2 linked regions of the Lytechinus pictus genome follow. The protein of the gene in region 2 interacts with the protein of the main gene of each other region in a pairwise test. Links are inferred from orthologs where the notes say so. Each region holds a gene or a part of one and is shown on either strand. Other genes may lie near its edges.

The links.
Region 1: the proteins of nuclear receptor subfamily 4 group A member 2-like (region 2) and proteasome subunit alpha type-3-like interact in a two-hybrid assay, tested with the Caenorhabditis elegans proteins (2 studies listed by BioGRID). The link is inferred for Lytechinus pictus from reciprocal best matches to the Caenorhabditis elegans genes nhr-6 and pas-7.

The regions. Positions count from the first base shown.
Region 1 is NC_087251.1:44,833,719-44,846,782, reverse strand, and holds the start of proteasome subunit alpha type-3-like, read right to left. Parts: upstream 5,562-13,064; 5' UTR 5,308-5,561; coding exon 5,287-5,307; intron 1,651-5,286; coding exon 1,444-1,650; intron 977-1,443; coding exon 944-976; intron 377-943; coding exon 308-376; intron 1-307.
Region 2 is NC_087245.1:17,376,924-17,389,658, reverse strand, and holds the start of nuclear receptor subfamily 4 group A member 2-like, read right to left. Parts: upstream 6,596-12,735; 5' UTR 6,268-6,595; intron 1,985-6,267; 5' UTR 1,777-1,984; coding exon 1,680-1,776; intron 804-1,679; coding exon 1-803. UniProt on the Caenorhabditis elegans protein: Transcriptional activator that induces gene expression by binding to the NGFI-B response element (NBRE) 5'-AAAGGTCA-3'. Required for proper morphogenesis of the spermatheca and the spermatheca-uterine valve formation.

The sequences.
Region 1 (13,064 bases), on a different chromosome or scaffold from region 2:
AAGCGCAGTTGAGTATATGCACATAGTAACTGCGCTATATAAATGGACATATTATTATTATTATTAAGAGGCATTTTAAGTGAAATATATAAAAAAGCAATGGGAAAGTTGTTCACATGTGATATCACACATCTTTGTCGCATTGTAGAAATTATAATAATGATCTAAACTTCAAATGCTCATAACTTTTTTATTATTCATTCAATTTTTCTCAAACTTTTGTTGATCTGTTTTTTTAATTTTTCTGTTTTCACACAAGCTATCTTGTTCCAAACGTTTCATTTAATCTTAATCAATTGAAACTTACTTTAACAGGAATAGGAGTACCATAGGATGCCCTGTAATCTGATGCCTCATCTCTTGCAATCTCAACAACCTGAAAAAAAAGAAAAGAAACGTAGATATCATTGTGTGGACTGCTCATTGAAATTCTTCTGGGAAGTGTTTAATGACGCATCTTGTTAGCAGTTTTCACTGACTAATTTGCTCTCAGCCAATCAGATGCAGGATTTCAGTAGCTTATAACAGTTATCAGTGAAAATCACCATTTGTTTCATTGAATGCTCCCAGAATCTTGCAGTTCAAAAGAAATAATCAAAAGAATAATCATAATTTTATCAGTTGATTTAAAAAACACAGTGAAAGCATTTCCAACTTTACAGTTTATAAAAAAAGGGTCAAACTTGAGTTTTAATAGTCAGTTATTTAATTTCTAAATATTACTTTTTTCCTTGTATATTTCATTGTTTTTATGACTGAATGTGATACAGAATTTTTAATATCACTGAATTTGTAGGAGTAAATATATACTTCAAATGGCTTAATATGTCAAATTAGCAATATTTTGTTACATAAATTGCAATATATGCAAATTTTGTGCAAAGAAAGGGTCAAATTGGCATACCCTATTGGTTTAATTAACAAGTAGCAGCAATTTACTCACCTGCCTTGCATCAGCAATGAGACCAGCAACAGCCTGTCAAATAAAGTAAAGAGGAGACATGTAATCATACTTTTCAAAGTTGACTTAAAATCTATAAAAAAGAAACACCCTTTCAAATATACATAAGTAGCGAATTCCAATTTCAAGGGTGTATATAAGGCATAGCATACATATTCTATATAAAGAATAGCTCAGATGGAATCTATTGCTGGCAGCAAAAGGCAATTCTTGCTTTTAAAAAATGTCAAAAATTACAAATTGCTAATTAACCATAGAAAATAGAGATTGCTTTCGATAAAATATGTCATTAGAATGGGAAGATGTTGGAAAAAAGCCCCCATTCAGAAATATTATTTGTTTCTCTTGATCAGTGTTGGTAGTTTCGTTTTGCTTAGTTGTATTTTCTTAGCTCAAATATCAAAAGAATCAATTATACAAAAGCCTCGGATTGGACTAAAGCTTGATTGATCTGTATTCAATAAAGGCCAGATGTAGCTTACCATTCCAACATGCCTGTCGACTGTAAATATTCTCTTGTTGGAGCCCTGCTCATAAAGTTTTGATGTGACTAACTTTTCGACGCCAAAGACAATGCCATCTTTGCATCGTAGACCTACGGCCGTGCCACTGTTCTCGACAGCTTTGATGGCATACTCCACCTGGAACACCCTCCCATCTGGAGAGAACTGTGAAGCTGATAAATCATACTGAGGACAAAAGAATGAAAATACGGAGAAACATTTAAAAACTAAAATTGTAATTTAACGTAGGATCAGGGGCCCGTTGCAGAAAGCGTTGCACCGATCGCAACTCTAAAAATCATGCGCAACTTGATTTTCAACCAATCAACAGCGCGCATTTGGGACTTGCGATTTATTTTTTAACTTGTGTTTAAATGCAACTCTTCTGCAACGGACCCCAGCTCAGCTTGTTGAATTCATGTACAAGAAACCGAAGAATAGTAAGAGTCCATGATATGAATTAGATCTATAACATTGATACAAGCATGCAAATTAAATTCCAAAAATCAAAGTAACTTGTTAGATCTACATGTGTACTAAATTTAAAAAGTCATCATAAATAAGTTGCAGGAAGTTGTGGAAATCAGGAGGTAAAAAAATTGGTGAGTTAAAAATCTTGTCATTGAAAGTATCATTAGACTCCACACATAACGAAGTTAGTAGTATTTGAATGTATACGAAGTATACATTCAAATAGAGAAAAGCCCCCCAAAAAGCAATTTCAAGCAAAAGTAGGCCCTAAATTATTTTTAAGCAAAAGTAAATTATTTTAAAAAAAATTCAGTATTTTTTATTGCCCATGTTGCATCTCTTTTCGTTGAGAAATCAGTGAATTGTATTGTGAGTAAGCTTGTAACCGATTTTGCAATCGGCAACCGATTCCATTCGATTTCACCACAATCGGCAATCACTTGCCGATCTTCGATCATGCCCCTTGAAGGAAAAAATCGAAAATAAAAAATCGGCGTAGATCTGGTTACAGTGCGTGATCGCTCAGAACATATTTCAAGATTGTTTTTGAGGTGCTAGCTATTTAGAGGTCGCATTATTCAGGGAGAAAGACGCGGTATTATCTATGGCGATGTTTAAGAGGATAGATATCTTCTCTTCCGCAGTTCCGCTTCTCTTCCAACTCGTGGTGATAGCGGATGCCGCCGTGAACTTTGAAAGGTCGTATTACCGACGGAGCTCACTGCGTTACTCTCTTACATCGTTTATGATTATATACATTTCATTTTCAACCTCGTGGTGATAGCGGATGCCGCCGTGAACTTTGAAAGGTCGTATTACCGACGGAGCTCACTGCGTTACTCTCTTACATCGTTTATGATTATATACATTTCATTTTCAACCTCGTGGTGATAGCGGATGCCGCCGTGAACTTTGAAAGGTCGTATTACCGACGGAGCTCACTGCGCTACTCTCTTACCCCCTTTATAATGATATAAATCTTCTCTTCAACCTCGTGGTGATAGCGGACCCCGCCATAAACTTTCAAAGACTGTACTATTGACGGAGCTTATTGCGTTGCTCTCTTACATCGTTTATGATGATATTCATTTTATTTTCAACCTCGTGGTGATAGCGGAAGCCGCCGTGAACTTTGAAAGGTCGTATTACCGACGGAGCTCACTGCGCTACTCTCTTACCCCCTTTATAATGATATAAATCTTCTCTTCAACCTCGTGGTGATAGCGGACCCCGCCATAAACTTTTAAAGACTGTACGATTGACGGAGCTTATTGCGTTACTCTCTTACATCGTTTATGATGATATACATTTTATTTTCAACCTCGTGGTGATAGCGGAAGCCGCCGTGAACTGTGAAAGGTCGTATTACCGACGGAGCTCACTGCGTTACTCTCTTACATCGTTTATGATGATATACATTTTATTTTCAACCTCGTGGTGATAGCGGATGCCGCCGTGAACTTTGAAAGGTCGTATTACCGACGGAGCTCACTGCGCTACTCTCTTACCCCCTTTATAATGATATAAATCTTCTCTTCAACCTCGTGGTGATAGCGGACCCCGCCATAAACTTTTAAAGACTGTACTATTGACGGAGCTTATTGCGTTACTCTCTTACATCGTTTATGATGATATACATTTTTTTTTCAACCTCGTGGTGATAGCGGATGCCGCCGTGAACTTTGAAAGGTCGTACTATTGACGGAGCTCATTGCGTTACTCTCTTACATCGTTTATGATGATTTACATTTTATTTTCAACCTCGTGGTGATAGCGGACCCCGCCATAAACTTTTAAAGATCGTGCTACTGACGGAGCTTATTGTGTTACTCTCTTACATCGTTTAAGATGATATACATTTTATTTTCAACCTCGTGGTGATAGCGGATGCCGCCGTGAACTTTGAAAGGTCGTATTACCGACGGAGCTCACTGCGTTACTCTCTTACATCGTTTATGATGATTTACATTTTATTTTCAACCTCGTGGTGATAGCGGACCCCGCCGTGAACTTTTAAAGATCGTGCTACTGACGGAGCTTATTGCGTTACTCTCTTACATCGTTTAAGATGATATACATTTTATTTTCAACCTCGTGGTGATAGCGGATGCCGCCGTGAACTTTGAAAGGTCGTATTACCGACGGAGCTCACTGCGTTACTCTCTTACATCGTTTATGATGATTTACATTTTATTTTCAACCTCGTGGTGATAGCGGACCCCGCCGTGAACTTTTAAAGATCGTGCTACTGACGGAGCTTATTGCGTTACTCTCTTACATCGTTTATGATGATATACATTTTATTTTCAACCTCGTGGTGATAGCGGATGCCGCCGTGAAATTTGAAAGGTCGTATTACCGACGGAGCTCACTGCGTTACTCTCTTACATCGTTTATGATGATATACATTTTATTTTCAACCTCGTGGTGATAGCGGACCCCGCCATAAACTTTTAAAAACTGTACTATTGACGGAGCTTATTGCGTTACTCTCTTACATCGTTTATGATGATATTCATTTTATTTTCAACCTCGTGGTGATAGCGGACACCGCCGTGAACTTCAAATTGATTTGAAAACGCTAGCTACCCAAAACATTTTAATAACATATTTCAAATCATCGTGCGTGCTTGCGTCTTCTACTTCATTTTAATTGCACTTGCGACTAGATGATGCGTCGTAAGAGATCATTCCAATAATTCTAAATCGCTAGCACCTAAAAATACTTCTAAAAGATGTCCCGCCGATCGTTCATTAACCTGTGATCTATGAGAAATATTTTCATTTTATTTTCCTTTGCGCCTTTGCTCGGAAGATGCGTCTTTCGTTTATCTTTCTAATAAAAATCACTCGGTTTATTTTAAAGCAATAACACCTCAAAACCCCTGGCTTTAAAACGATCGCGCATGTTGGCGACTTCCATCCCAATGCATTCGTCTTTGTGACTTTGTCAGGAAGATGCGCGCGACCGCGAACAACATTTTGATGTATTCCTTTGTTTTTAAACATCGCCGATTCGATTTTCGATTCGATTTCGATTTTAGAAGCTTAACTGCCGATCCGATTTTCGATCTGATTTTTGATCCGATTTACAACATTAATTGTGAGGATAATACCACCTATTTATTTTCTCGTAGGATCAGGGCCCTTATTAATTTCAGTGATAAAAAACTGATATTATCACTGAAATTAATAAGGGCCCTGATCCTACGAGAAAATAAACAGGTGGGACCGAAATAAGGAGACACTGAATACATCGTGCACTAGTTCAAGGTCGATTCTTGCTTCTTTGTTTATTCTAGGTGATGAAAACATTAATTAACTTTTAAAATCATATATAGATCGACTCACCCCTGCTCCTATCGAGCTCATAGTGATGTTAGTGCTACAAAATCTGGATAAAACGACGTCAGTTTTGTTCGCAGAATGTAGAATCGGCTCAGAAAATGCTAGTCACGTTACAACAGATCGACAGAGGGCGCAAGGCCAGTGGGCGAGATACGGTACCGGTATATCTAGGCGACTTTTTTGCTCGAAACGGGCTCGAAATGAGTGCATTTTTCCCAGTTTATGAATAATTTTCTGTCTGACATGCACTTAAAAATGTTACGTAACTTCGAAACCGCGTCCCAGAGACTTGAAAAACAGTCATGCAAGACTTGAAAAATAGTCATGAGGTGTCTTGGGACGATATTTCGCGCTACAGATTTACAGTGAAAAAAATTAGGGGGGCTATAGGTTTAGGCAAAATTCACTTAGTTTTTATTTTTATGAAATTTCCCCGAATTTGAATTAAAAAATGTTTTGCTCATGTAACTAAGAAAACTGGGATTATAATTTACACCAAGTCCACAAAGCTCAACTATATGTCTCATCTCATACTTTTGTTTCATCTCTTTCCAACCATCGTTTCATTGTCAAATCTTATCTCACAATCTGCGTCATCCCTGTGGCTCGTTCCTCGTTTCTCATTATTCCAAACTCGCATCTCAAAGCTCGTCTTGTACCGTCCGTGATTACACCCTCTTTTGAAAGAAAAAAAAAAACCCGGACTGTAAGGCATTGGAATAGAGGAAACCTATAATGGAAATTGGACTTGAGAGTAAAAAAAAATCACGACTAAGAAAAAAGGGGGATATAGGGATATATATATTCCCCCTTACTCCGTGTCTGGCCCCTCAAAAAAAAATTTGACTTATTTTTGGGCGCCATTTATATACACAAAGCTCACCTAAATATGGTCCGGTCCGGGCTAAAATATGTATAGCTTAATAAGTAGAATTTACTAAGCAAAATGCCGAAAATTTCATCCGCAAAATCGGATAACAAAGTTATTGAATTTTAAGTTTAGCAATATTTTGTGAAAACAGTCGTCATGAATATTCATTAGGTGGGCTGATGATGTCACATCCCCACTTGTTCTTTTGTATTTTATTATATGAAATTAGGTTTATTGAATTGTTTTCCTCCAAGAACTAGAAAAATTGGATTGACAACTGATTTAGTGCATTAGATATTTATTGCTGCAACTTATTTCATTATAAGGGAAACATATTATTCACAAAAGTATGAAATAATGAAAAAATTATGATTTTATGTAATAACATAAGAAAACGGAAAGTGGGGATGTGACATCATCAGCCCACCTAATGAATATTCATGACGACTGTTTTCACAAAATATTGCTAAAGTTTAAACTTCAATAACTTTATTATTTTTTATCCGATTTTGATGAAACTTTCGGCATTTTGCTCAGTGAATTATACTCTATGTATTAAGATATAAATATTTTCAGCCCGGACCATCCCTTTAAGAAGTCCACTATGACGTATCCTTGATTTTCATTTAAAAAAAAAATTCATTTATCCATCATAACAACAGGGCTAAAATCATGTATCAGAACATAATTATGAGGGAGCACAATTCGCAGTGCCGTCAAAAACTAAACAAGTGGAACGCCTCTGGCAGTCTCGCCTGCATTACGCGATTTAATATAGCAGCGGTGCTACAGAAAACTACTATAAAATAATCATTCACTAAAACACCATTCATATAATGACATAATAACCACGTTCATTGACCATAGATGACATTTGAACGGTGACTTAAGACTTGTCAACTACACCCATGTCCACATTTCATTCACTCTGTCCATAAACTTTCAATTAACTGACCTTTGACCTTGGTTTTGTGACCTGAAAACTCAGGAAGGATGTTCACTAATACTTGATTAACCTTATGTCCAAGTTTCATGAACTAGATCCATAAATTTTCAAAGTTATGATAGTAATTCAACAAATACCCCCAACTTGACCAAAGTTCATTGACCCTAGATGACCTTTGACCTTGGTCATGTGACCTGAAACTCGTGCAGGATGTTCACTAATACTTGATTAACCTTATGTCAAAGTTTCATGAACTAGGTCCATATACTTTCTCAGTTATGATGTCATTTCAAAACCAGAACCTTGGGTGAAGATTTGATGTTGTTGACGCCGCCGCCGCCGTCGGAAAAGCGGCGCCTATAGTCTCGCTCTGCTATGCAGGCGAGACAAAAACTACACTGTCCTGAAAAAAATATTTAAATACAAGACATTTTTCTCAAGCCACTTCATAAACTGACCAAGTCCGGGACCAAGTCATTGTCCTTTGAGAACATTACCGACCGTCAAAAGAACCAGAAATCGGAGAAAGAAATGCAAGACAATTCTTCTTTGTTACCTAGTCAGTTTACAAGTACCGGTAATTAAATATTTATTTATTTCCGTTTTATTTCAGCAGGGTAGCCCTTTCAGTTACAAAACTGCTCTACCAAGGGGCCCTGCACGATAAAAAACAAATACATATAAATAACAATTTACACACAAAAAACTTAAAACTATATACTTAACTACAAATATTTACTTAAGTAAAATCACATTAAATTAAAATTCAAAAACTAAAATCACATTCAAGCAGAGTATAAGACATAAAAACAAGCAGGATTTTAACAATGTGGTAAAAAGCTAATGCCAAACACTCTACAAGTTTCTCTCGTTTTACTTAGGTCAGAACCAACCAAAAATCGGGAGGATTTCTCCCTTTGATGAAAATGCAAGGTCTTTACACGGGATGGTTTTCCAACTCTTCACCAAGTGATCTAAACATAATTTAAATGAGAGAGAGAGAGAAGGGGGAGGGGACACATGATCTCATTAGCATTTTAAGTTACCAATTAAAGAGAGGGGGGTGGGAATGGATGGAGGGAGGGGAGAAGGCAGAAAGACAGGGGGAGAGAGACAGATAACGATGGGAAAGGAGAAGGGAGACCGAGTACACATACATTTTTTTTAATACTGTTTTTATTATGATTTCATGAACAAATAGTTACATAACATTTCAATTTAACATTTCAAATCACATATAATACTTTACATTTTATATTTTTACTTTTTTTTCACTAACTTAATATAAAAATGAATCATATATATCTTAAAAGAAAACAATGAAATCAGTTACACATACACCCTCACACACACACACAACAAGAGTGGAATACATGATAAGAAAAAAAAACATTTTTTTAATAGATACATTTATTTAAAAAATCAATATCTGGATGTAATTTAAGAAACAACAAAAAAGAAACAAACAAGATATTTTCCTTGTCATATGAAAATTTATTATAAATACACATTCAAGTATCTCATAAATCAATTATAACCAGTACCCAAACATAATGAAAAACTTCATTGACAACAACAAAAATATACTATTTTGTATTATTACATGTAGCTGACATCCGTCTTTCAAATGCAAGAAATTTGAGAAATAAAAAAGAAAATGTTTCCATATGTATTTCAGATGTCATTAATCCAAATGAATTATTGTTCATCAATTAATAATAAATGCATGATACGATACATTTACAATTAAATCTCGTACAAGGGCATTATGAATTTGCATTCAATTCTTTTTGTTTGCATCGCATCCTGAAGATTTACACTACACGTTGACAAGTTTAATTTAACATAAGACCTTGTTAAAATTTACATTCTACACGCCTGAAGATACCATTTTAAGAGTGAGAATACCAGTACTTAAATACCTTGATCCTTGTAGAAGAAATCCCTAAAGAAGCTCTTGCAACGAGCTAAACTGGGATATTAAGTTAAAAGGATATCACTTTGCATGCGTTATGTGTTGCTCCGTGTATGACCCAGAGACCTCTAAAAGCTTTCAAGATGGAAGAATGTCTTTGCTACTGAGTCAGTTGACAGGTACCAGTATTTAGACATAAAAGAGTAGGAGTTTAACAGTGTGGCAAATAGCTGTTAATGAATTCTTAAAAAAAAAAATATTTCCACTGTTTCCAGATGAAAATCAGAAAAGCACGAGTCCCTTTTCTAAGAATATCAATCTGCAAGTTGAAACTTTTATATTGATATACCGATAGCCGTTCACCTTGTAAGCAATATGGAACTTAGAACTAAAAATCCCTCGCTGTGTATTATAATTTCTTATAATGATTTCTCAATCTGTTTACAGCAATTTGCCATAGTATGCAAATTACAAAAAAAAAATAATTTAAATAAATTTGCTAGTCAGAGAAATGAGGCCCAAAATATCTCCTGAACATAAAAAGCCCTGTCGAATCACAAAGCAATATAAGAAATGTCTTGCGTTACCATTACCATAAAAAGGAACAAGAAATAAAACAGAATTATAACTATAAGATCTCAACATCCTGCAAATGACCTTCATTCACATACAACTGTACTTGTATGCATCATGGATTCATTACACTTCATACGGCATAGAGACTTGGAAGAAAACATTCTATTCACTGTGAAAGTCCAAATGGACAACCACAGTCACTTTGTAAAAAAAAAACCATTCACCTCTCACTCTCTTCAACAAGGACATATATTTTGGAATATCCAAATATGTACCCATAATTTACCCCTTATTTTATATAAAAAGATGTATCGCACTAGAATCCAAATTGCACTTTTCATCAGACCTAGTACAATTTTCATTCTATTAAAACTCGCTAACTTTTGAAAGATATTTCATGTAATCATCAATATCTAGGTCTTCACATGGTCAAATGGATATCATTGAGAAAACTAAAAGGTACCGTACAGGTACATGTTCACGGGCGCATTGCAGAAAGAGTTGCAATCAATCGCAACTATAAAAATCATGCGCAACTTGATTTTCAACCAGCGTGCATTTGGAACTTGCGATTGATTTTTTGGCTTACGTAACGTTTAAACGCAACTGTTTCTGCATCGGGCCCCAGTATTGTTTAAACAAAGGAAAATTTTTGTTTTAAAGGAAGAATTAGCAGTACTACAATTTATAGTCGGTGCTGTGTTTCAGTCTGCACTCTCCATTATTACTACATGTAGAACTGTTGCTAGGATAGCACCGTGAGCATCCAGGGAGGACTGCATGTGCACTACTGACCTCAGAGCCAGGCCTCCATTCTGAAGCATATTTATAACTATAAGGCTGAAGCCCTATTTAAAACTATTTTAATTAAGCAAGACACTGAGTAAAATATTTAAAATTATGGCGGAGGTATCAAATTGAATACCAGCCCAGGGCCCTGTTGCATAAAACTTACTACAAATATGGTAAAATTGCCCTCCAATGGTAACTACATGTACCATGGTAACACTGATCAGCAGCTAATCAAAATCAATGATTCTACATGTATGATGCAAGTTAAAATCGCATGGCCAAGTTACCATAATGATTACTGCGGCAGCCCGAACACGTACTGTGTACAGTGTACTCGACACTGTCTTAAGACGTGTCGAGGTCCCCGGGGCAACCATAATGAAGACTTTTATGCAATGAGCCCCTGGTCAATACGTTTACACAATTATAATAATATCATGACATTCATTACAGGAGAGGCCTGAAAGGTAAATTACATTCATAACTAAGAATAAGGAAGCATCTTGGAATTTTATTAGAAAGACAGCCCATTCTAGCCTAGAGCCCTACAAAAAAATTTCTTGGAAAAGAACTTGATATTTATACTGGAAAACAAACAGTTCAAAGCAAGCAAAGGGGGATGGTGAAAGAAAGACGGCTATCTTCTAAAATTGTACATTGCGAGGAAAGAAGAGGAAGTACCTTTTGGAATTTTGTTTCTTTCTTTTCGTTTGAAAATATTGAATTCTAAAAAAGAGTTGACACAATAAGCGTTAAGCAATGCATTTTCCGATCCGGTGAGTGAGGCTATGAAACATATTTCATTGGAGATTCAGTAAGCTATTTCTTGGAGAACACAGTCGCACTTGAGAGCAGCTGCTGATTTCATCAACACTTTCCGCCCGACCAAGTTGTCAGATCTGCCAACTTCCCTTGATAATGATTGGCTGAGAAGCACAGTTCCTATGGCAACTGTCGGACATAACGGATAGAACATTTCGACAAGTCCTTTCATGAAACACTAACGTCATCCATCAGCATTAAGCCTCTTCATGACATAATAAACCCCTCAGAGTCTGTAATCAAATGCATCTCATCCTCGGCCATCTTGTTACCAGTCCCACATATCCAATCTTCTGTCATGTTGTTGGAGAGGCGGCATCAAGCAACCCAAGGTATCCAAGTACCATGGTACAGTGAGATGGCAGGTAGATGTAGGTGGTGTAGGCAGCAGTTAGAATTGTCAGCACGATGATTGAATCTGAGGTTCCATCGTTAAGGAAAACAATCAGTCTTGTGGGAATCAGGAAATTTAATGAAAACAGGCATCAAATTTAATTATTTTTAGGGTAATTAAAGCCTCTCCGTGCACCGAGATCTTCTTTAGTATGCCACCCCTCTTATTTTGATAACAACTATCACCCCTTCTTTCAAAATGGTAGGCCTATGATATGTAATTTAAACTCCAATTTGATACTGGTCAACTATTGGTAACTTGCATCAAACAGCAGATTGGAACACTTTGATTGCAGAGTAGGGGCTTCTCAAACCGTCATCCAAGCAAACTTGGCTGCTAATATTCGGACAGTAAGGACCAAATGAGAAGCAAGCAAGTCAAACTATGACTGCACTAAAGTCCTTCTTTTGCTGGATCTTTTTCCAAATGCTGTAACATTCAAGGATTAATATCAAATGTCACAAGACATCCTTCTTTAACACTGCCAATAATTCAAAAAACCAATACGGTCAGAGTAACAGATGAGCGATACAGCAATTGATTTGCTGATGGCGAACTAACAGACTGGTTGCATATTAAACTTACAGGATGGGGGTCTGATATCCAGACACTTATAAGCAGATAAATACATCATCTTTGCTCAAGACTTTTTTCAAAATTCATATCTCATGCATTTAAATAACAAAAATAATTGTGAAATTCGAGCTCTTTAATAATTGTTGTGTATTTTATAAATAATTTGATGAAATATTGATCGCAAAGTTCCTGAATTTGCCATTTTGTCTGGACAAACAAATACAATCAGGTATATGCCGTAAAACAGTTAGATCAACTAACAAAGTACTAACGACTAAGTATTAGGTTAAAAACAATCTTTTTTTTTTTAGAATTAAAAATAGTTGCCGATGTATGTTTGTTCCGCCAAGTAAAATATCATCTCTGGTAATTACTGGCCTTTAAAGTCTATTTAATCAATAAAAGAAATTAAACTTAATACTGACAGCCTTAACTCTTAAGTCAAGTTCAAGTTAAGTTATTAACCCAGCCATGCCAACTGTGCACCACATACCGTGGCGCCCGCGTGAGAGACCGGCAGTGGCAGACTGGATTTCCAGTGCAGTGAGAGTTGCAAATTTCCCACCACCACATAATTATAAATGTGTGGGACAATGCATTTTTTATGCTTGTTGAAAAGGATACTGAAAGTATATCTTTCTGCTGGTTCGAGCATATAAACAGCAGTCACAAGGGTGTATTGAGTATATAACCAACAAATGTACTCTTTCAAACGACGAAACACTTCCATTATAGACTTCTTGTAAATTTAGTGCCGGTAAATTACTTCTCTCCAAAACGGCGCGTTGCTTGCTAGTTGTTTACGTTGTTTGTTTTGTTTTATTCTATTTCAGAACCACGCCCTTGCAAGCATGCTGCGCGTGCGCCACAGTATGATTGAATGGATGTA
Region 2 (12,735 bases):
ATCAACATGAATAGACGAAACGTCATGCGTAAAACTTGTGTCATAATAATCGTTTTGATGACCCACTGGAGAATACGTGCTGTGTGATGTTGTTGGGGGAGTGACTCCTGTTAAAGTTGGGCTGTATGCATGTTGGTAAGCTATGTGTTCAGACATAGAAGGGATCGCAGGAAGTGGATACTCCCTGTCGTAAGTTTCAGGTTGGGTTGCACTTGGGAGAAACTCCGTCATTGAACTGAACGGGGGAAACTCTGGCGAATGTTCTTCGTAGTTCGGCCTCAATCCTGGGGGACCAAAACAGTCCTGAAAGTTCGGCAATCTGCTACTGGTGGAAGTGCAAACCGGAGGACTGCTATAGTTCGATGAAAAGGTTTCTGGCGTTTGAACAATACAAGGCGGTGAGGATGCGTCTTGCTTCGGGGTGTAAGAGGGCATACTGGCGGGCATAGGGGTAACGGGAGATTGCCTCTGGGGGGACTGATGAGGAGTATGTTGCTGGTGATTATGAGGTGTCACTCGATGCTGGGATTGTTGTTGGGATTGAGGTTGAGGTTGCTGAAGAGGTGGTGATGCCTCTGACTGTGGATGTTGCACTGGTCGATGCGGTTGGGTTGCTTGTTGATTTGGAGGTGAATGATGATGTGGATGAGGATGCTGCTGCTGTTGTGAGATGAGAGTCCCGTCTGTACTGAGTGGTGGGCTGACTGGGCTACCTTCTGGTTGATTGGGACTGGTGAAATTCTGAAACAGTTTTGTTTCCAGTATATTATACTGGGATGACCCCGCGTTCGGATCGACGTAGCCTTTAATAAAAAGAAGAAAGAATAAATGATTAAAATAAAGTTTTGTTTTCCATGTTACTTTCGAGATACATTTTTGAATATTTCCGAAGAATTCATTGAAAGCTTCGATAAATGTACATGTTCGAGTTATCGATAAGGCATTTTCTCTGACATGTCGCCCAGGCCAAGTGATTACACGTAGAAATAAGTATCATGAAATATTATTATTCTAAGGAGTCATAAGTGATTTCTTATCCTATTTTCGCTTCAAATTTTAAGTACAAAATTTAACTGCTTTAAAATTAAATAAAAAGAGTTGAATATAGCAAACAATTGATACTAATAAATGAATTACATGTAAACGAACAAATGAAAACAGGCACTTGCAATGAATACCATGATAACTTTCATGCATTCTAGTGTTTTTCTTTTGTACATGTATTTCATGCAGTGATGACACGATGATATTAAGGCAACATGAAAAAATGGTTGATCACAGCATTCCATAACAGAACTATGCATATACATGAAAAGGTGTGAAAATTGTCTGACGATTCGGTTAATTATTTTTGCGGTTTTTTTGCGATAATTTTCATTGTCAATTTAACGGTAATATCGACTGAGGAGGTATTTTCATTTGAGAAAAACGCCAAAATAAAAAAAAGTTGATAGAAGAGAGAGAGAAAGAGAGAGGATGAGAGAGAGAGAGAAGGGGGTGAATTGTTATTTCACATAAGTTAAGAGACAAACAAGAATTTGAGCACTCTAGTTGCACTGTTCATGAAAAGAAAACTAAATGAAATTAACGGATCAGTGTCTCGACAACATTGTATTTACAGACAATGATCAAGACGATGGGTGTTGAACACTTAGGATGATTAATATTGAGGTAAGCACCTGAATAGGCTTCGAAGTCATCAAAAGGATAGGTTGGGTAGCCATTGACATGAGGGTACCCGGTCCCAAAGGAAGTGGGTGCGCCTACCAGCATCATGGTCAATCTCGGGTATTGGTAGCGCCCCTTGAAGTCTCTTTGCGACGCCGTTTAAAGGGCTGCCGTACTTGGATGCAACACAGAAGATTCCCGCTTTAAGCACGGCTTCCGTTTTTTAATTGGTTAAATCTGATGTGACGTCACCAAATCTCAGCAAACCCAAGAGAAGCACCCGGCATTCACTGTGATATCGTCTGCTCCCAAAGGCCTGTATTGTGTTGTATGCACAGATTTGAAGGCACATTATAACCACTGTGTCCAACCGTTACATGTTCATATTGAAACACAAATGCACATTATCATTGGGATATTGCAGTAGATTGCAGTAGTATCATTACAGGCGTGCCTGTGTTTTCCCTTTTTTCACTTCCACATTCTAAAACCCCCAATTATTGTCAAGTGTGATATGCTTCATATATGCTGATGTATATCAAAAGGTGGGGACACATTAAATATCCACCATCAATAATTGGTGGGAGGGTTGTTGACGGACATTATCCTATCGCTTCCTATCGCCTACCCAAGTACCAGACCAGTAAAACTATTATTTTAAGAACTTCCTGAATTGTTTCCAAAATGAAACTTAATTTCAACAACCTTTTTCAATATTTTGAATAACAACATTTGACTCATAGGTCTGGTTTAAGGAAATTAGAAAGTGCCCACACTTGGGTTAATCATTTCCAGTTTCTTGGAAACGTCCAACAAATAGATTCACAATGGGGAAATATATTTAAAATGTCACATGAATTAAAAGATAATTTTATTCTAAATTGTTAATTAGCTCAAGAAATAGAGACATTGCTATGTTTCCCGCTAAACAGAAATCGATCATCATTCATTTACTTTGTTGGCATTGTTTTTATTCTTATTTGGAAAACATTCAATGACAATGTGGACTTTCCGTGAAAGAATATGTATTTGGACTTCAGTATCAATAATCAGAGGTAGAATTCCATTCCATGAAAGAGATGTTAACGATCAAATTGTAGACTTGTGACAATGTATGCAAGGATTTGCTGTCCGACATACTTCGAATAAAGATAGAAACAGAGAGAGAGAAAAAAAAAGAGAGAGAGAACGATTGCGGCCAACATGTTTTGAGACATCTTAATAAAAATGCAGATAATTGCAGTCAACGAAGTCGTAACTCCGTTCGCTTCATCGAGGCGACGTAAATAGAATATATCAAAAGGAAAATCTGATTTACCATGCAATGACGTGGGTGTATTCTTACGATCACTGGTATATACTAAAACCATTCACTCATTTTGGCCTACATGGATGAATTAGTGAATACTCGAGGGGATATATGATAACTGACGTAAGCTTCTAAATATACTGTACTTATGACTTTTTATTATATTAATAACGCAAACAAAGCGTGTTTCATCTCATGACTGTGTACAAAAAAGGGTAAAATGGGGTCTTTTTGGTAGCAAATTTGTCCCTCGAAAGAAAGTTTAAACATTGAAATGTTGCCATCCAGCTTTAAAAAAATAAAACGTAGTATGTCTGTGAAATCGTTGGTTGGATTCTTCTTACCAAATAAGTTGCAATTGTGTACCTAGATTTCGGGTTATAATGTTACGGGTTACGATTTGACTCACCCCCCCCCCCCTGCTCCATTCATTCATTTAGCTGTACAATACAGAGGCAAACACACTCTTTTCTCTCTTTATGGTGATGATGTGTGTACATTTATCCAACTTCATGCAAACTTATATACTTGAAAGAGTTTATCTTTAAGTTTTGATGGATCGGTAGAGGTAAACGTAACGGTAGAGATGTTTAATTTTGATATCCACTTCAGATTCTTTGGTATGAAGGCGGCAAATCATATTCACAATAAGCGCCTTTTATTTGAGCTCTGGAGATTTACCCCCACATATATTGGGGAGATATAGGAAAGAGAGTAAAACGATTAAACACTTGAAAATTCGCCCCTGAAGTGGCTACCAAAATTGATGTATGCTGAGTACATATACACAGGATGCTTACGCAAATCGCGCTACCCTCTCATCCACTGAATTTGCTATTGGATTTCTGGAAGCTAAGGCGGGGCAAAGTGTTTGCATGCTTCACAATAAACATCCATCCATAATTGTCTGTAATAGGTTGCGATAGAAAACAGAAATATGGCCACGTTGGTGGGAACGAAATAAAAACACAAAAAACAAGTGGACAATTCTTAATCTACCCCAGATGATAGCAAAAGAAATATTACATACTTGAAGTGAAGCCATGTCTACTACCCGATATATTGAGAATTTTGATGATGAAAATTGAGCGGCCGTTCCATCTTATTTCGTCTTATATCCGTATATTATGAATACCCCGGAGTCTGTCCGCTCGCCTTGATATGAAGATGTATAAAGCTTGCATTGAATGCATTGGTGATAGTACATTGCCATACCCAACCCCTACATTGAAGACTATTGAGGTGGACAGGTACCTCCCACTGCGCGCATAATGTACAGAGATTGCTAGATGCCTTACCATTACATGGCGCCGCGGTACTTACGTACTAATATTGTTGTAGGATTTACCGATACTCCTAGCATAGTAAAACGTATAAGAAAGGGATGTATGTATCTGTTTTATAATGGAATCTGATTATATATTGAATATGGAATATTTTTTTTTAAAGTGCAAACATACTATGATCTATGTCAGTTTCGTGAGGTTAATAATTGCAAAGGAAAACCAACTAGGTCAATATCATCAATATAGAGATGGATGATCCTTTTTCTGAATATTATAGTACTGTGTAAATTATACACTGCAAAAATACCGGTGTTGATTTAACACCACCCCAGTATCTATATCGGTCCACACCAGAGAAGCGTTTGAAACAACACCAGTTAAGCATCAAATCGATATTGGTTTAACACTAATTGGTGTTGCTTAAATGCCAAATTGGTGTTAGCCTAACGCCAAACCGGTGTTTTTTCAACACCTCTGGTGTGGACCGATATAGATACCATGCTGGTGTTTTTGCAGCGTAGGTGGTGTCAGCATCATAACAATGTGTACTATGCCATTATTGTTTCTCATAAAAAAAAGCCAGAAGATATTATTTCACATAAATACACAATGTGAAATAATATACTGTATACATTTTTTTCTGTAGTCTTAGCGAATATGAGGCCTAATGCAAAATGAAGTTGGTTCGATATTCACCTACTCCATATATTTAGTTTTAATTAAGTGTAATAAAGAGAACTGCATATGAGAAGCCAGTAATCGCAACAACCATGCACAGGCCTGCCGTTGGCCATGGCGTGTCGGCTTCAATTAGATGCGGAAAATATTCCAAGTATGTGCAGCCAGCTTATATGAGGCCCGGTGGTTAATGATATTAGCCTATACTGCTACCCGTCACTTCTATGTAAATATGATATGTATACGTTATTAGTCAGTGTATGTGCATATGAACTAACACACACACACACACACACACACACACACACACACATATATATATATATATATATATATATATATACCGTCATACCTAAAATCAGGAGCCATTTTGACAATTCGGCAATATTGAGATTTTTATATAAGCTCTAAAATAAACTTTAAAAACCCGAAACAGGTTGGCTGAGATGAAGAAATATCAACTATTCTGTTACAAACACGATAAACTATTAAGTATATACCACGAAGGCTTCGTGTTTTTAGGGAAAACAATAATAAAATGTATTTATATAGCACACATCAAAACGCTATAGTTAAGTCTCTATGCACTTTGGATAAAGATATACATGGAAATGAATGAAGATATTCCTCTATAAACAGAAGTAATCATTAGTTAATGAATTTTCTTCATTGTAAAATCGACTTCATTTACTTGACTTTATTTATTAGTGTAATAAGAAAAATATTGTGAATATAGAAGTAGACTTTCTCATGAATATGCAGTCGCAGACGCTCTCACGCACAAAGGCATGCACACCCGCAGTCTCACGCACAGGCACTTTCACCCACATACTCTCTGATAACAACCAACGAATTGAAACTTTGAAGTGAAAAATAATTGCATATTTTTATCGAGTGAAAAACACTAGTCAAAAGTGATAATTCCAACTGAGGTTTGCAAAGAATGTAAAAGAATGTATTTTTTCATTAACCAACATTGATAAAAAAGATGATAAACACTCGAGTTCTGAAAGAAAAAGTTTCCCAAAGTATGTTAGCGCACAAGGAAAATTCCGATTTATGGGGAAAGTATAAATGAAATACTGAGATATATTCGTAATCAGCAGCAACCGCCTATAAAACAAACTATTACAAATATGATAGAAGACATACAAATACGTTCACAATGTCCGATCAGAACATAAGATAACACCTCCAAGTGAACCGTTATTCCTCTCTATTATGATCCTATTGTACAAGGTCATATTCTCTAAAATCTTATTTTATGACACACAAGGTAAAACGATGAAACGAATAAGGATTTGATAAGAATCTATCCATTCTTACCTGAGTCAGGAAGTACAAAAATATTCTCAAGATCTTATTTCACCACACTGTGATGGGTAAAACAATCTTGTAGCAGACGACAAATTGTGTTCCAGTATAAAAAGTAGTAAAATACTTGGAAGATGTCAAACAAAGTGGAAAACTTTCACAGTTGACTAAACTGCAAAAAAGTGATGATGATTGCTTGTTTATGTTTGCTGTAAACCCAAACACCGGGCCCTCCTCCTCGTTCTCAGTCTCATTGACGAGTACGAAGACTGAAGAAACGATGCTGGTTGGTGGCACAAGCAAGCAAGAGTGAAACGCACTGCTTCTCTGCGACAAAAGTATAAACCCCTACTCGGGCGAGCCTCATATCGAATTGAGAAGCTATGACATCAGCAAAGCGCTGGTGTACGCTTCGTTAGAAGCGGACCTGGGACTGCACCATCATACAGGTTTGTGCGTGTAAGCCGCTCGCCTTGACGTCACAAGGGTTCGAGGGTTACCCTCGTATGACGTCAGAATCGACGTTGTCGTACAGTTCTCCGCAAATAGCGGCGCTATAAATAAACTCAGCCCCTTTACTGAGGTAGATGGAGGGAGCGTTGGGAGATGTATACACTTCGTATATGGATATATAGGAGTGTGTGCCTTACAGTGTGCTAGTGTGCGATGCAGATGGCGTTCGCTTCTCTTGATCATTTCTAAGGACAAGTTTTTATTCTAACGAATTGAAAATAAAAATGTTGATGCCGCTATGAAAAATCATTCTTTTTGATCATCAAATAATACATTTTATAATCTTTCATCCCTGAACATCTTTTCACGGAAAACAACATCTTGTATTTGCAAATTCGTTAAAGACCTCAGTAAAACAGAAGAGTATGTTATCAGTCGGTGTTATAATAAAAAAATGAAAGAAAGATATCCTAAAAGCGTAGTGTTCTTGAAAAATTCAGTTTTTTTATTCATAATTTATGTTTGTTTTGATTTTTGGGGGGCAAATAATCCAATCTTAAAGGAATATCAAATTTTCGTTAATAAAACAACTTCAAATATTTGGGATGTACAAATAGAAAATACTGATTTGTCTCTATGTTCACTCTCTAAGAAGTGATTTTTAAGAGTGAGTTTGCGATAAAAAGGAGTAATGTTATCTCAAAATGAGTGAAAATAGTCATGTTAACTCTGGAATCACCCCCGTAATAAGATTCACTTATTTGATATTAATAACAACGCACTTTCCAATACATAACAACAAATAAACTTTGAAGCCTGCAATGTTTTTATGAAATTATTGTATGTATTCGATTGACAGCCAAGATAATTCTGAAGCCATACATTTTAGTTATTGTGTCACCTAGGAATCGTATGGTTTCTATTCTTTCCCTCTTCATAATGTAATGCCTTGTTTTTGTAAGACAATGCACGATTTTCATCTTGCTAATATCATTAATAGTAAACTTTAAATTCAAACTACATCCAGGATTTTACAAATGTTAATATTCTAAAATACAATCATAAAAGGGGGTAAAATGTCTGAAGAGGGAACACAGTTTTGAAATAGTAGATGATCACCCTTGTGTTAGGAACTCCTTATTTCTCCGAGTGTAACCATTTTCGTTCTGAATACAGTATTTTAAAAATATTCATCTCTGGTAATCGCAAAGCATATAGTCACCCTTCGATCATTTCAAATGACGAGATAACATTATAGCTCTATGATATATATCTTTCGTATCTTTTGTTCGTTTACTTTTTCACTATCTTATCTAATGCATCTAATATCTCGTTCACAGTAAACGCTATATTTTAATCCGTAAGGGTGATATTGGACATTAAAAAAAAGGAATGTAATACCGTTGTTAAATAAGAGTCAAATATTACACGAATTATGGCGCCTTTTGAAAACAATCACTGAAGAAAGTGATTATGAAATGGATATCCAATGCATTATATATATCCAGAGCAAGCTTTTACACGAGCCTTATTGTCGTCATCCATCTTTTTGATCTTTCATCATGTTTATAAGTTTCATTTTTAATTATCAATTGTCAGTGCAATTTGTTTCATTTGATGTTTGTTTTAAAACAGATATAGCTATTAATGTGAATTGAAAATATATCTTCTCAGGAAAGAATGTATTATCATAAGAATTTATTTTTCATGTACGGAAAACTCTCGTAAATTCATCTAGCCCATAACTTAATCTCATTCGGTGGTATTGACTGGGATAGTTTAACGATTTGGAGGTAATTCCTTTTAAAAGCAATGTAAAGGGTATTACCCGACATATCTCCGAAAATGCATGTGTTGATTGAATTCGACAAATATCTTAAAACACAATAATTTTGTTTATGTTCATGTTTTATTTTGAGTAATTCAGCTCATATGCCAATAGCTTCGTTTGGAGTTTAATATTCATGACGGCTATGATTACTAAGCTAGTTATGGAAATGAAGCAAAACGAAAAGTTGGTATCTTAAGCGATTATTGTATATATTTTCATCACTTGAATAGGTCAATAAGAATAACGAATGCTTTGCCAGTTTTTCTAATGTCTTGCATGGTCTCATCGTTATATAAAAGTTGTCATATATTTTGAGTATATTAAAAGAAATCCTAGAAATCCAAAAGGGGATCGATTTAATTGAAGACCGAGCGAAAGAAATGATAGCAAATGATTTCTAACGAAGAGACCAATATTGTTTTATTACAAGTTTGATATATTATATTTATTTCTATAATTATTATGAAGTGTTTCGAAACATATACGCCCATGCAGATAAGTCGTTCTTATCAAGAAATTTAAGTTATTCACTGAGAAAGGTACATACAAAAACAATGAAACCATGAACTTTTAACTAGCTGTTCTGTCTTTAATTTAAATGTCTGATCTTATATGGTATCAGATTATTGAAAGATGCTGAAAATGGGAAAAAAGTATTTTCAAGGTAAGAAACTTTATGGATTCAAAATGTTTATATATTCAATAATTCCATTTTTAGAGACCACTATAGCATTCGCCTTAATACAATTTGCCAACACTTTGGCTATTCCCAGGCACCAAAATCAATTTGTAAATCTATCAAACCCGTAAGAATACAAGGAATTCAGGGATTCTAGCAATATAGCCATGAATAATATCATAAACATGTCGAAATATTAAAGGATGAAATAAGAAAAACAAGTATGATATCACAACATGAATGAAATGAAGAATTAAAAAAAGTCTAATGAAAGACAAAAAGTAACATTACCATTCAACATGTCCAACGGCACCCATTCGAACGAAAGGCGAGTCTAGGAGGCGGGCATGGAACAAAATATTGAAGATATCACCAACTGCTTGGAGTTGTAACAAAAAGTGAAAAATGTTTTCGCGGTTGGGCCTTTATATATAATTCAGAGAGCAGTCAATGCATAACGGTATACATTGTGGATAGGAATCTATCAATGCGACTTTCAAATGTTGTATGGTTTCCCTGACAAGTATGAGTTGATAACGACATGGGGGCGTTGGTGTGGTAGAGATTAACGGATGTCTATAGGACGATACACCGTGACGTGATATATTTCCTCATGTTTGTGTAAAGTAGTTGGGGGATCGTAAAACTTTATGAATCGCCCGACTTCAGAATGCGAAATAGTGAATATCATATAACAGGAACATTATGATTTCTCTGTAAAATATACTAATGAATGGATATCTGAAATCATTTATGCCTTTCTATGCGAAATGAAAGGCATAAAACGGCCTTTATATTTCCCCATGCATATAAAGTAGTTGGGGGTATCGTAAGATTTTACGAGGCATAAATCGCCGGATATCTGGATGCGAAATAGTAAATATCATATAACAGGAACAGTATGATTTCTCTGTAAAATGTACTAATGAATGGATTATATGAAAATGAAATCAGTCATGCCTTTGCGAAACGAAAGGTATGATACGGCCTAGTTTGAACAGAATCTGTTTACTTTCCCTATTTTTCTAGCCAGGCCAACACATAATCACATATAACACGTTAACATTTTTGAATATGTGCACTTAGGGCAAGACAAAATTACATGAAGAGAAGACCTAGCATATAGCTCTGCGTGGTTTCTTCATTCAATATTTTTAACAATAATTATGCCAAGGGTGAGAGGGTTGAGCTGATTTTCCAGCTATCTACATGGACATACAATGAAATCTTTTTGCATTGTCATGATAAAACTTGATTTTGATATCAAAATATTTGATTGTTGAATTTTCTACTTCAACTAATATTCCACTTCCCTTTCCAAGATCAAACAGGACAAATAGGCGATAGCCTATACCTATGTTGGAGAGTATATTCATGACATAGATTTCAAATTGTTACATTTCCCCCTCCCTAAATCTATGTTTTTCTGACATAAACTGCATTATCTGAAGAACCATCGCATATTTCATTTGTGTTTTATTCATAATCAAACACCTATCCAATCTTATTCTATTACTTTCCACGAAAGTTGTCATTAATTCTGTTAACTGAAGGCTTGTTTGATTGTGTTGACTAAATTGATTCCTCTTTAATCATAGAAAATGATGTCATCCACAGTACACCTTCATATACTTCTTTTTTGTTGTTGTTATAACCGAACTTTTCAAGCACACGTGAATGGATTTCTGCAAGAAACACATATATTTCATTTTAACCCGTTTAAAACTCTACAGAACTGAAATGTGAAGAAAAATTGTTTGAAATAAATTCAAATAAAACTTGAAAGAACTCATTTTATGACACTATGTTTAAAAAGACACTATATTTTAAAGAACGAGATGTGAATGGCATTTGAGTAATTTGATTTTCAGTTGCGCCGAATACTGGGTATACAATAATTACACTAGAATGTACATCTTAATCATTTCCAAGAAATCATAAATAACATAGAATTATTGCAATATAGCATATGTTCAATGGGGTGTAATTTGCTTAATCCTTTCAAATTTGTTTTATTGAATGTATACTTCTTAACTCATTTTCAATGACATTTTGTTTTTGTTCTTTTCAATTATTACAGTATGTTATTTCTATTTGATGTATTTTGATGCATCAATTGGTGTTACAGCAAACAATTTGTTAATAACTGAAACAAATAGAACTTCATTCCTTACGCTTGTATTGACCTTCCATGGTATTATATCAACGTTAGTCATGCTGCATTGCTCCCATGAAAAATCTTGTAGCCAGGTATTTAGACAAAATCTACCTGGACAAGACTCACAATTTGCTCGCCAGAAGGATATTCATATCTCTCATAATGACCGACTTTTACTTGAAGGTATAGGCAAATCCTTCTCTTAATATTGATGAATAATGGAGTTCAGGACGAGGGAGATTAATTATGTCACACACCAGTTGGAAGACCATCTTGGCTGTGTTGCACATACAGTAGGTAATGATCGAAGCAGCTACATTGAGACAGCTGGTAAATACCTTCAACATATTGCCAGGCACCCTCGTTTTAGACATACCTATACCGTCGGTTTGCACTTGTGGGAAAGTGTGTAGTACATGTATCCTTAAAGCTCTAGAATCGAGTCATATCATGACAAATTATCCAAGGTGACTCGATGAAGCTATTTATCCTGGGTAATAATGCTCAACAGATCCGCTTGTCATCGATGGATATAAGCAAACACATTGGCAGAGGTACGAATGCTCAAACCTTGGGTAACAAATCATCAGAATTATTCCCTTTATCATTTCCTGTATCAGTATTACAAAGGAGGAATATCATCTTCTTGTAAAATACCTGTTATCTGGATTTCCGGGTTTGTCATCTGGTTGAATATGCAGGAGATGAAAATACATTCCTTGAGAATTATATTCTTATAGGCCTGTAGAATGCTTGTTTTTCCGCTTTTAAGTTTTAAACATCCACCATTATTTGCAATGCTAGCTACATTGTGTTCTGAAGAAGAAGAAGAAGAGGTATATCCGTCAAAAAATGCTCCAAATCCATAATGATAAAGAGAAATACCCCAGAAAAGGAATGATCAATGATATTCCTTTGCGAAGAAGAGAAATCCATCACTTCTCTCTCAAACCATGTTTTTTTAAAAATTAACTTTCCTGTATTCGTGAGTTAATTCTTGTCATTAGGTCATCAAACATCTTGAGGCAAATCGCCCTTGGCTCGTTTTATATAAATTAATCACATCGTATTGTATGGAATGATCTCTCTGAGAATAATTTCCATTGCTAAGCTAAGCTACTAGATGAGACTTTTTTTATACACACACGAGCGCTAAGTTAAACCTCCCTTAAAAAGATAGCCGCCTACACACTGAAGGAATCCCGATCCAATCTATCCTCGATACAACTTCCATATATTGGCCTCGGCGCTGATAAGCATCATGTACATCAACATACAAACAACCCTCTCCCACCCTCCCCGCACACATAGACACACACACACACCTCATGCCAAGCACACTATATTCTTAGTATGCAT